3 linked regions of the Drosophila melanogaster genome follow. The protein of the gene in region 1 purifies or fractionates together with the protein of each later gene. This does not show direct contact. Each region holds a gene or a part of one and is shown on either strand. Other genes may lie near its edges.

Evidence for each region. The genes of interacting proteins can lie anywhere in the genome.
Region 2: the proteins of Argk1 (region 1) and CG14315 purify together in Drosophila melanogaster (affinity purification with mass spectrometry, with the first as the bait; one large-scale study listed by BioGRID). This does not show direct contact.
Region 3: the proteins of Argk1 (region 1) and Mf purify together in Drosophila melanogaster (affinity purification with mass spectrometry, with the first as the bait; one large-scale study listed by BioGRID). This does not show direct contact.

The regions. Positions count from the first base shown.
Region 1 is NT_037436.4:9,062,990-9,067,680, forward strand, and holds the start of Argk1 (arginine kinase 1), read right to left. Parts: upstream 3,039-4,691; 5' UTR 2,719-3,038; intron 1,529-2,718; 5' UTR 1,519-1,528; coding exon 1,475-1,518; intron 1-1,474.
Region 2 is NT_033777.3:18,156,920-18,159,971, forward strand, and holds CG14315 (uncharacterized protein), read left to right. Parts: upstream 1-1,781; 5' UTR 1,782-1,850; coding exon 1,851-2,504; 3' UTR 2,505-2,552; downstream 2,553-3,052.
Region 3 is NT_033777.3:15,177,271-15,182,135, forward strand, and holds the start of Mf (myofilin), read right to left. Parts: upstream 3,001-4,865; 5' UTR 2,938-3,000; intron 2,081-2,937; exon of another isoform or gene 2,052-2,080; intron 1,911-2,051; 5' UTR 1,860-1,910; coding exon 1,769-1,859; intron 1,220-1,768; coding exon 1,010-1,219; coding exon of another isoform or gene 951-1,009; exon of another isoform or gene 1-950.

The DNA.
Region 1 (4,691 bases):
CATTGAAAACTTTGACAGCCCTTGTAAATCATTGGTGTATCCCTATACTCCATAACATTTCGATAAATATTTGAAAACAAATATAGTCGCAAATAACGATTTTTCAATATGCAGTAATTGCAGTAAATCATATGCATTTTAATATAATTAAAAGTAAATGAAGCCTTTTAGTAGTTCGTAGAGTCACACTGGAAGGATCTAAGGCAGCCCTGGTTTTTGAAATTGATTTAAATTTGAAAAGTATGAAAATACTGCACTTTCTAGCTTTTGTTATAGAGTTAATCATAGTTCTTTTATAATGCCCTATAGATAAGAAAACAAAATAGAGCCAGTTATTTATTGTACTTTGCCAAAAGGCGTTAGCCTATTGGTGGGCGTGTTGCTTAGACGCAAATGTTTCAGTGCTTTAATGCCCACAAATGGCAGTAATTTAGAACTGTAACCACAATTTCTTATTTCCCACCCATTTCCCCAGTTACGAAATTACTTTCTCCACTCCCCCATTTCTTTGGGCCGGCGTCGTCATTTCTCTTGTCACGTAGGCCAAAACGGCAATAGCTGACGAAAAACTCGTGCGGCAAATTGATAAGCAAACAAACGAGCTCCACCCGGCATAAAATCGGCAAATCGGCAAAATACCGGCCCCAAATGCCGGCTGTATGGATGAGAACGAAAAAAACTAATACCGCTCCAAACTTCAATTATCACTTTTGTTATTACGCTAATTGCCGGCAGATAACAACTGGACGCTTTTTTCTTTATTTTTTTGCCAAAAAAATGCGAATTTTGTTTTGCACATGTGCAAATCAGAGAATGTTTGAATGTGTGCGATCAGCCGATTGCACTTATCACGAATGAGAGTTAGAGCCACAAAAGCCGGTTGTTATGGGCTGGGGTATTCGACGAGATCGGGGGAGTGGGAGATGGGAAAACGGACAGATAGTTCATCATGTGACACCGCTCGGTGACTAACTTTCTTGCCAAATGCAGGAAAATTATACACACAGTCGCATTAGCACCTTCGAACCATAACGATCACGGAAACGTAGAGCTAAATTGGTCTAATTCAACAACTGATAGCGATAAGATTATCGGGTTTGCAATGATTGCGTCCCAAAAGTGCGACTACTGTTATCGCCAAGATTTATGAAATGCAAGAAAGTAGCTTTGCTTGGTGAAGGTGTTGTTATTAGCATTGCATAACCATTAAAAGCCAGTAAATTTATTTGTATTACCCAATCCCCCAAAGCTCGAATCACATACCAGAAACTTTTCATTTAAAACGTACTTAGACCTTTTTCTGAATTGCAGAATATTTTTAAGCTTAACTCCAAAAAGGATCTCATTACGCCCCCAAACTACAATTCACCATTAACACTACCCAGCCGAAAAGTAGGCAACACAAAACGTTCATCCGCCCTGTGGGGGGCACAGCAGTGCTTGCCAAACTGTGGAAAACCCCTTTTGCACTTACCGTATTTCATCGACAGCAAAAGTTAAATACCACAAAGCGAACATTTTGTATTAGCTGAAATTGAGAGAAGATCGAATGAGTAAATAGTTAAGTGATTTTCAAAGCAATTTGACCGCTAATGTATACGAATTAATTGGACTATAAATGGCAATTTCCACACCACATGCACTTGTTGGACTGGCACTGAATCTGATTCACCCAGCGACCTCGAAAAGCGCAACAAATGACGTCGCCGTCAAGCAATGCAAAAAAAAAAAACTCAATCGAGCGAGGCGCTCATCAGAAAAGTAAGTTCCAGAGAGCCAGAGCTCAATTAAGACCCAAGGCACACAGATAAAAAAACAGTTGAACAGGCGAAAAGACAGCAGTGAATATATGCCGGCATTATTCAAGGTTTATTTATAAACAAAAGCGCGCATGGGTTTGCAAATGCAAAATGCAGAATGCCAAATTCGCAGAACGCTGAGCGCCGAGGCACGTGAAGTCGAGACTTTTGGGCAAACGGCCAGAGATGGGAAACAGTACACAGAAAAAACCTCATAAATGGGAAAATGAAAATGTTTTGTCATAAATTTGATTTCTGAATTTCTGAATTTCTTATTTAAACTCCTCCCCAATTGAAGCCTACTAACGCCAACATTATTAAAGTTTGCCTCAATTAAAAAGTTATAAATGAAAGTTTCTTTATATGAAATATTTGAGGCACCTGCCTAGTATTTGGTTTGCAAAGTTTATTTTTAAGATATGTCATAACATTTAATATGTATTCTCACAAGCAAACAAATTGCAAATTTTCCTCTGTGCACTGCAGATCAATTCGGAAAAAGGGGAACTTTTTGTGCACCGGATGGCGCCCAATGGTCGAAAGGGTTCTAAATTTAGATAGTGCTGCCATCGATCAATTAAATATGATTATTTTGCGCACTGTTTGCAGTCCCCTGAGCTTTGTTTATCCCTCGGATTTGAGCAAAGGCAAGCAAAATTCACCATGAAGCTCCGTCTGCGTTTGTTTTCTTTTGCACACGCGGCGTATGAGCAATCTGCGATGGTAATAGCACACTCAGACTCTGACAGTTACGTCACATCGCACGGCAAACGTATGAGTGGGTGGCTGGGGCGTGGAAAATGGGTGGGTGGTGGTGCCTAAGAACACTCATTCCCATAACACTCATTCACTGTTGCAGCATGCCACACATAACAAACAACTGGGGACTTGCAGCATGACCCCTTCTGCGTGCACTCACCTTTTGTGCCTGTGTTGGATAATAAAACGACTAGAAAAAGTTGCAAGTGCTTTTCCGGAGGGTTTTCCGTTCGATTTTTTCGTATATCAAAAGGTTCGTTTCGTTTAAATGCTTCACAGCTGGTCAAATATCGAGGACTGGTCTCGATTGTGTGTTGTTTGATTTTGAGTAAAGGTACAAAATTAATTTTCTCTCGACTGGCACTCTTCTGCTGTTGAATGCTTCTTTCAAGTTTTTTTCGACTGTCGTGCTCCGTGCGAAAATCGACTGCTCTACTGGCGGCAAAAGCGACGAGACTACGGCTACGACGGCATCCAACTGAGAGAGCCCCAAAGAGAATGGGGAGCACGGAGAGCGCCGACGCCAATGTTTCCTAGCTGTGGCTGCACTTGCGACGAAGCTTTTCTCACGAGATTCGTTTCCCAACGAACCCACGGGTTCTGTGCCAGGTACACCCGAAAAAAACTTAGAAGACTTTAATCAGATTCCAACAGAGAGGGTTCAGAGTTAACTACTATAAAGGATATACATATTTATTAGAGGACACTAGCAAATAATTAAATGTAGATATTTCAATGTAGTAATAACTAATAGTAAATCTATGAATTTTCTGTAACTAATTAATTATTTTTCTCTGTGCACGATTTCAATATTTATTTCCGTGTACTCTCCGATTCGGAATGTTACTCATAGGCTTACGCTATGCCACCGCTATGTGTCAATAATCGCGTTGAACCTGGTCAAAAGGCTGCCTAATCAATAAAAGAAAAGAATTTTCGGAAACAGTTTTTGGGCACTGGACGAGTCACTTTTCCAATTGGCACTATCAGTTCAATGTTTACTATTTATTTTGCTTACTGCAGCGTTTGGCCCAGGCCAAAACTATCAAATTTGGTCGAAAAAGCGCTGCTGACGCCTTTCGCCGGTTGTCTGTCGTGGGCAAATAAATCCAGATAATAAACTCGAGCGTACTGTTCAGTCATTCATTCAACAGCGCTATCTATTTTGCAAAGCCCACTTAATTGGCCTGGGTGATGATGATTGGGGTCTTATCGCTCGCCGAAGACTCTGCAGTTTGAGAGCCACTGCAACGGCAAAGATGCAATGGCAAGCGCACAGAGTCCGTGAATCCCGTGGACCAGGTTGCATAATGATACGTACAGCTGCTTACATAACCGCGGCAGCGAGAAAGGCGACCAGAAACAAGGTCAAAAGTTCAAGGACTGAGAAAAGCTCGAAAACATCCTGGAGCGCTTGCGTTGCTCAGCGGAAGTTCCTGCGAGTGTGGGTGTTCTGTTTTTGTTGACAAAAAGTTTTTATTATCACGAATTATGTACTTTTAATCGGCTACCTTCGGCCTACAGCACTAAATATTGTATAACACAACCCATGAAGTATGCAACGAAAATAAAGATTAAAGCACTTGAAAAGGATAACTTTCGAGCCCCTTCCGTAAATAATTAGGAGCACAATTTTGATTTAAGTTTCAAACATTTTTTATTGGTTTTTCAATTGAATGCATTTTGTTTGCTACGCTTTAATTGGTTTATATATCTTGGTTGTCTTACATTGTAATGATATTGCATATGCCACACAAACTGCTGTTGGCCTCGGTTGATTAAGCTTTAAAATCTTGCACAAAACATAATCATTGCAAATCAAATGGAAATTGACTTTGAATAAAACGCTTGCTTTCATATATTTTAAGCTATGTGCATTTTGTATGTGTATTATTTTACTACATATCGATATATAATTTAACATTTGAATCATTCTCATCTTCACTTTTCATCCTGACTGGAATATCAATCTAATTCCGCACGCTGTTGATTCACTCAAACACTTCGGTTCAAAACTTTGGTTCCCCCGCGTTCGTCCTTCGTTAACCCGCTAAGCTAGCTACTACTGGATCTGATCCGATCTCCTATAGTTCATTTTGAATTCTTCTCGTTGGCCATTTCATTTCAGATGGT
Region 2 (3,052 bases), on another chromosome or scaffold:
AAGTTCAACTTGAAAAAGTCGCAAGTGACTACTGTGCGATCCCTGGAATCTCAAGCGGGAAAAAAATAAAGATAAAATGTGTACACAGGTACATACATACATATGTACATACATATATGTATTTATGTACGTAAGGAGCAGCTGCCCTCTTTTGTTGTTGCACTTAAAGTCGCTAAAATGCGGTGCGTTCGCTTGTCAAAATTGCAGCAGCATTCAGCCTTTTTTATGTTAAGAAGCCACAAAGAGATGACGCAGTCGAAATGGTTAAATGAATTAACCCTTTTACTTTGCACAAACACACACACACACATGTGCTTGCAACAGGCAATACAGTGGCTACAACAACAATAGCAGACAGGGCTTTGTGATTTTTCTGGCCGTTCTTGTAGTTTTTTGCCCAACACACGGATTAAGCTACACCCTCGGAAAAATATTCGACACAAAATCACGCGATTTAAACTAAAAAATAAATAAATAACACAATTGCGCGGAAACTTGGGAATACACGGCGCTAAGGATATCGATTACTTATTACTTATTACTTTTTATCGATTCGCATCGTCGGAGCATTCGCAGGGTACTGCCAACTTATCTCAATTTCCTAAAGGTCATTGAACTCAAATATATATATAAAAAAACGAATGTAGCATTGCATTTATAGCCATTGATTAATATGAAAGGAAAGTATGTATAAAAGTGCAACCAGTATTTGAACTTGCATAAGTTAAAAATCAAAAGTTAGCTTAGGTCCTATGATTACACCAATCTATTTGACCAAAGTACATAATTAAATATTACATCCAAAATTCAATTGTTCCTGTACAAGTGTACTAACTTTTTGGCGTTTCATGAGCGGCTCGTGTGTACAAACATTTATTTAAATGCTTACCCCCACCCCGTAGCCACTTCAGATGAAGCTGGAGCTGGAGCCGAATCTGAAGCTTGGAGCTTGAAGTTTGGAGCACGGTGGAGAATTGCGCGTAAATTCGTTGCGGTCTGCGCGTCATCAACGTAATCGCCGTCAACAGCAGTCAACAGCATCAAACTGGCAGGCAAATGTTGCTACTGTTTCCAGACGCAGTCCGTCCGGCCAACAGAAGCAAACGAAGCAACAGAAGCACCAACCGCCGCAGTGAAGTGGTTTTTTATGATCAGACGAGATGAGCCGAGCCCAAAGCAGCACTTTCCATCCGAGAAAGAAACCGAGGCTACAACAAAAGCGTGTCTTTCGAGTTCGCTAATGGGAACTACATATATGTATGTACATACATATGTACATTCCGGGTACAAAGTGCATTTTGTGGAAACCCTTTGGGCAGAATGTAAACCATTAACAAATTGTAGCAGACCTATGGCCTATACATTTCTTATTTGTTTTAACTGTTTTGACTCTTATAAATGAACATATTTTCAAGAATCTGAATTAAATTGTAAATTAGTAGAATGAAGCTCTTTCGAAACTACCTCGCTTTGCTCCTTCCGTTTGATCATTTGACCATTTTTGACCATTTGCTTTAGGTTATGGCATTTTGTCCATTTCGTATTGGTCATTCGGTTTTGGCCATTAATTTCGTTATATCATTTCGTTTTTGTCTTGCTTTGGTTATTTCGTTTTGGTCTTTCATCTTAGTCAGTTCGTTTTGACCATTCGTTTGGGCCGCTTATGTAGTTTTAGCCAAATCTTTTTGACCAAATTGACTTGAGCTTAGTTCCTGGCTCTACATATTCTGTTATTTTTTTTTTTTTTTAATTTTTGAGCTGGAATTAAAGCGTTTCACTTCAAACATAGTACACCTGTCGCACAGACTTATTGTAGTTAGTTTTGTCAAGCGTTCGAAGCGACTGCAGAAATGAGGGTCTACTTGTATCAAATGCGCCCGGTGCTCTTTCTCTTCTACATGGTGGAGACGACGGCCAACTTATTCGTTTTGTACTACCAACTGAAAGCATTTGTTTTCGTCAATCTGACAACGATGAAATGGGAAGATGTTCTAATCCAAAGCTTTTATATGTCCTTCTTTTACATATTCACAGTGGTAACGCTCTTTGCCAGCATAAATCTCTGCACCGGTCATCGCACATCGATCGTTGAGGAAGTTGTGCGTCCTCTGATCGGATTTGTTCTATATACGGTAATATCGTTGATGGCACTGGGCGATGCCGAGACGGATTTCTATATATGGTATGATGGAAGGAACCCGGATGATTTACTATATCCGGAGAAGCCGCTCCATCCGTTCTTCGGTAGCCTGCGGGACCAGGCGACAGCCTCATTGGTGTCCAGTGTTATCTATCTGCTGCACTGCCTCATTGCGTTGGATGTCCTTCTGTCGAATGACGATTCGGATAACGAACGCGAGTCATCCAATTCCTCCGACGATGTGAACGAAGAGGTCGACTACGTTCCAGTGCGTCTGTACGTCTTTGGCGGCGTGATGCAACGCTGGCTGGAGCAGTTCGACTGGTTTCAGGACTTTACCCACAGTGGAGTCACAGATATCTGATATTTTATCATTAACTTCATTTATACAACTACAAATTACATGATAAACAAAACTTCGCATCGCTTTTCTCGGTGATTATGCAGCCTTTGGATTTTGGTTACATTCGGTGCAAGAAACCCTAATCATCAGCATTCCCATGACGTCAGTGGGAAGCAACAGTTCGGTCTCTGCATCATATAAAGCTCATTGTCGTCAATGTGCCAGTGATAAGCAGCTGGGGCCAAAACATCTACATAAGTACGCGTATCTATAGTATCTATGTATCTTGGTACGAGTATCTGTATCTGCTAGTGCGCAGGTCCAAAGTTAAAGCGAACAATCGATATATGTACTATGATGTTTGGGGCAAAGCGGCAGTCAAGAGCAAGGTGAAGCATTGCCCCGGTGCTCCTGGGTGTGGTGCTTTTTTCATTCATAAAAAAAAACTGGTCCACATGACATGTGGACACATTCAAGGCTATTTCTAGACCAGACCAAGGATGTCCTTATGCCTCTCATAAACTATGCAATATGATTAGAAAGTCTGAATGTTTAGAATTAGTTTTATA
Region 3 (4,865 bases), on another chromosome or scaffold:
GTGTTCGGATTTGGGTGCTTGGGGCTTTTGCCAGTGTGTGAGTGTGTGGAAATTCGGAAAATCGGAAAAGAGAACTTCGGTTTCCGCGCACCGAGGGCCGCCACAGTCATTTGATCCCAGAGCACGCACCGAAAAAAAAAATTGAGTCAAAAATTCCGCTTATATACCTGACTTGATATATAGCGCCTGTGTGTGTTGCCTATATTATTGTCTTCATTTTTTTTATTTTTTTTGTTCATTTTTGAGGCCTTTTGCCAAAATCAACACGACCGAGGCGAAACGAAACGATACGAAACGAAAATTTTCATTGACGTAATTGTATTTGGCCGTTTGGCGCTGTCCATTTTTATTTTTAAATTTATGAAATCATAGCGCTCGCACCAGTTTTCATCTCAAATGAAACGCATAAAAATATGGCGGTTTTGAGATATTCAAGGTGTTGTCAAAAGCTTCAATAGCAGGCAGTGGCGAGATTGCAGTTGTAAGATGATTGTAATGACTCGACTGATTGACTGACTGATTGACTGACTGACTGACTGATTGATGGATGGCGCATCGAAGCGAAGCAGAAAGGCTGAAAGAACTTGTGGCGTTCGGATGGACCGAAGCTTATGTAACCTTGCAAATAACAATCAGGTGATTGCCTTTTTTAATTTTAAATTTTAATTAAAATTTTAAACGTTTTTTTCTAAAAAACTAGATTGAAAGCATTGACATAAACTTTTGAACCTGAATTTCATCTATGTTACTATTCCAGTTTCAAGAATGTTAAAAATATCTTTTAGTTTCATGGCGGATAATTTGTTATGTAAACAATCATAATCATTTATCTATATTATTTGAAATATACTTTAAATGGTAATAACAGGATATCTTAGTTCAATATCCACATTTGCAAGGCCACCGATTTCGGAAGCATTAAGATACAGATACTCGGCTGTGTGAAGCAGTTAGGCGGGAATCGGCTGTAGATAGTACAGTATGTGGTCCGTATATGGTACCAACTTACTTGTTCGGCTGTAGTGATGATCGTAGATGGCACGGGGCGAGTAGCCGTAGGTGTCGCGGCTCACTGGCAGATATCTGTAGCCAGAGGACTGGACGCGCTCATTGGCGGTGGCGGGCTCGTCATAGATGCTCCTGTAGGAGGGCGAGTCCAGGTAGGAGCTGTAGGGACGAGAGGCACGGGGCGCCTCGTGGGCACGGATATCCTCGGAGCCTATAAATAGTTGTTTGGATAACGACGCGTTAGTTCATTGCTTTTCAAATATTTCGGCTATTCTATTCTCACTATTTGGCTCAATGCCAGCGCTGCAGAAATGTATGATTTCTATTCGGTTTCTATCATAGATGCGCCCCCTGTATGTGTATCCTATATTTTAGCCTATTCTTTGTTTAAGGCCTGAGCATATATATTTTACAAATTTCTCTCTATATATTCGAATATACTATGGCGAAAAGCTTTCCCAGCAGAGCGTGTCTAAGTATATAGCTTGGCTGATATGACACCTGCCAAAATAAATAGACTATACACATATAGGCTAAGCTATTTGTGTTGCTCACTGGCGACCAGAGTTTAATAATATCACTTTTGAGTGTCCCTTAATCATATCGAAATGGGAACACTTCGAGTTAATCTTCAATTGTTTTTTGAATTATTTTGGAACTATGCAAACTCCCTACTATTGTGACTAAGCAATCAATAGTAGTTTTGAATAACTATCCTATCTTTTAATGTAATTTTTGAGCTTATTTAGTGAATGCTTACCCTTCAGGGACCTGATGTAGGACTGCCAGAATTTCGCCTTCTTGCTGGGGCTCTCATTGCGCCCAATCATTTCCAAGTGGTTTTTGAACATTTTGATCGATTTGTTTTGTTCTGTTCACGAAAAAATCGTTGAACTCGTTCGCTGTAATAAAGTTGGGAAGAGAGATGGCTTAGCAATTTTCCAATGTGTTTCAAATTTCCTTTCCGCCTATTTTATTTTATTTTTTTTTTTTGTCCGTTTTCAATTTAATCTATTTCCCGGGAAATGCCAGGCAGCACGCACGAATTCGAATCGCTTGTCTCTCGATTGATGGGATGTTTTCTCAGTTGAATTTTTTGCTTTCGCGTTGAAAGTCTCTCGGTTCGAAAATAAACAGACTGTGTGCCACTTTAGAGCAGTGCAAAGTTTATAAAACATATACATAAAATCTAATATAATACCGCGATCGGGCAACAGCAGCTAACGCAAGATCAATCTCACTAAAAATAAATATATTTCGGTTCGGTTTTTGTGATTTTTCATGTATCGTGGTATTCTCCTGGTTGCTCGAATATAAAAATATTTTTTTGTTGCATAGCAAATTTCACACTTCTGAGTATGAGAACAAATATTCTAGGTGTCGTCAGTGTGTGCGTGTAAATGGGTGAGTGGATGTAAGTGTATCTGTGTGTAAGCTGCAGCTAAATTGGGTTTTATTTTTAAATGTCCTTGAGTTGAAATCGTTCTGTTATTCTGGCTTTTAGCGGAATTTACTTAAGTATCGAAGAAGTGTGCAAAGTCTAAGAACAATTTAGTTGAAGTATGTTTAAAATAGGCCTTTATTATCCATTAAACTAAATTAATTTTGAATTTAATTCAATGTGGGATTTTTGTTTTTTATATTTCACTGCACAAACTCTTGATGAGCTCCAACACTTCGGTATCAAATGTCATTGAGTACGATCTCTCTTATATAATTATAGTCAATGTCTTTTCGCTATGGAACATATCGGATCATTCATAATGCGATCATAATTCCATAATTATTTCACCAGTTAATTGTTCGTCTCCACATTCAGATGTGATGGTGCACTTTATTTAATTTGATTTTATTGTTTTTCATTTCGTTTATAATTATTTAATTTACTATTCAGTTGTATGTTGTTTAATATGTTTCGGGTTCGCTTACAATTTAAATTTACTCCTAAAAAATAGCGATCTATCCTCAACGAAGAATTTTTTCAAACTGCAAACCCCAAGAAAATTCGCCTCACCAATTTTCCTCGTTTCAGAATTTTGCCATTCCGTTTCGGCACCAAAAGCACGGCGCATTCCTTTACGGCGTAGGTTGCTCTATCCGTGAGCGATTTTCATCGCATCTGTGTGGCAAAGCTCCGGAGATTGGTTATGGGAAAGCTTTCCCACCACATTCTGATAGATCGTGTGGTGGCACCCACTCATTGTTTGCAACGATTCAATACCGAAATCGCGATGACGCTGGCGATGATCATAAAAAGAAAGCCAGCCAAGTCATACCACACATACACAATACATATGAGCCCATATTTCTTTCAGAAAATCCCACACCCTATTTTCTGTTTTTGTTTTTCCTATGGTTTTTCATAATTTTAACATATTCTTTGAATGTTTCAAGGGAAAGGCGTCACTTGTGGTATTGAATTGATCAGTGAACTATAAGCTCTAACTAATACATTACAATATTTGGTTTTTTGTAACTAACTAATTCAAAATGTGGTTAGAGGCCGATGGAATTTTTGCCATAAAAGCATTTAAATTCCGTTTATTTGTTTATGTTTTCTTTTGGCTTTGGCATTAGCTATAATTTAGTTTCCTGATAATGGAAAAATCATTTCCAGCAACATGCCCACACAGGTAAATAAACAAAACTGGTCCAGATACATTTAACCAAATAATAGATACTTTAAGCACACAATATATTATTTATAATGAAATCTGTATGAATAGTTTGATATTTTCTAGCTTGTTATGTAAAATTTGCCGTTAATTGATTATTTAAAACATTAGTAACTCATTTTTTTCGATTATACCCTCCTGTAGGGTATATCTTTTTTGCTCACGTGCGACCCAATGATTGATAATCTAAACACAAATTTTCCAGGGAAATTCCTACGAAAACGAATAAACAAAGATGGGTAAAGCTTCCCCCATCATATACAATTACATCGAAACGAGTTGAAGGGCAGATCTGGGAGTACATATGTTTCTAATAATAGTAAATACATTCATGGAGATCATGTTGACCTTTTCAATCGTGCAGATCGCTTACAGAATTTCCTGCATGTGTTTTCTTTTTCCGCCGATAAACTCAAGGCCAAATGCACTTGCATCCAAATGTTCTTTTGACTTTGTTTGTTTAGCTTATATAAATCTTGTTTGTGAATTTTACCCTTAAACAGGCGGGCGGCGTCATTTAAACTTGAACTTGACTTTGAATGAACCGAATGCGGTTTGATGAACCAAATCGAAAATCAAATGAAAATGCACAAAAACTCACGGGAAATTGGGAAATACCTGGCAAAGGTTTTTCTTTCGGCCAATCAGTGATTTCGGTGATGTGATTCAACTTTTACTTTCTGGCACACTTTTTTGGCTTCACAGAACAATGAATTGAGCAACTTTTTATTTTACTTTCGTTTTTTTTTCAGGTTTTTCATTTTAATTTATTTTAGTTTATTGGCGCTTGATTGTGTTTGTTCCAACATCTTTGATGTTTTGCTCAAGGAGACACAAAAATTGGCTAGGAATTGCATACCCTTAAAAGGAATCTCAAATAAAATTTAGTTATTTTAAAAATATTTTAATTGGCCTAGCGGCTTACAAAATAATTATCTTAGAGAAATTTATGTCCCTTGGGAAATGGGGTCAAAATGTAAGCTCATTATTTAGAGGGCACATATGCAAGCAACGTCAAACAATTTGCTTTCGCAAATTCGCCATATTTTATATCGCAGTTTATACCCAAATTAATTGCAAACTGCATTTAATTTCAGATGAGGAGAGCAGACATTTAGCTGTCAGAAAGTCAAATGCACTGTGAATGCATATAAATTATATACATATTATTACTTTCGCACT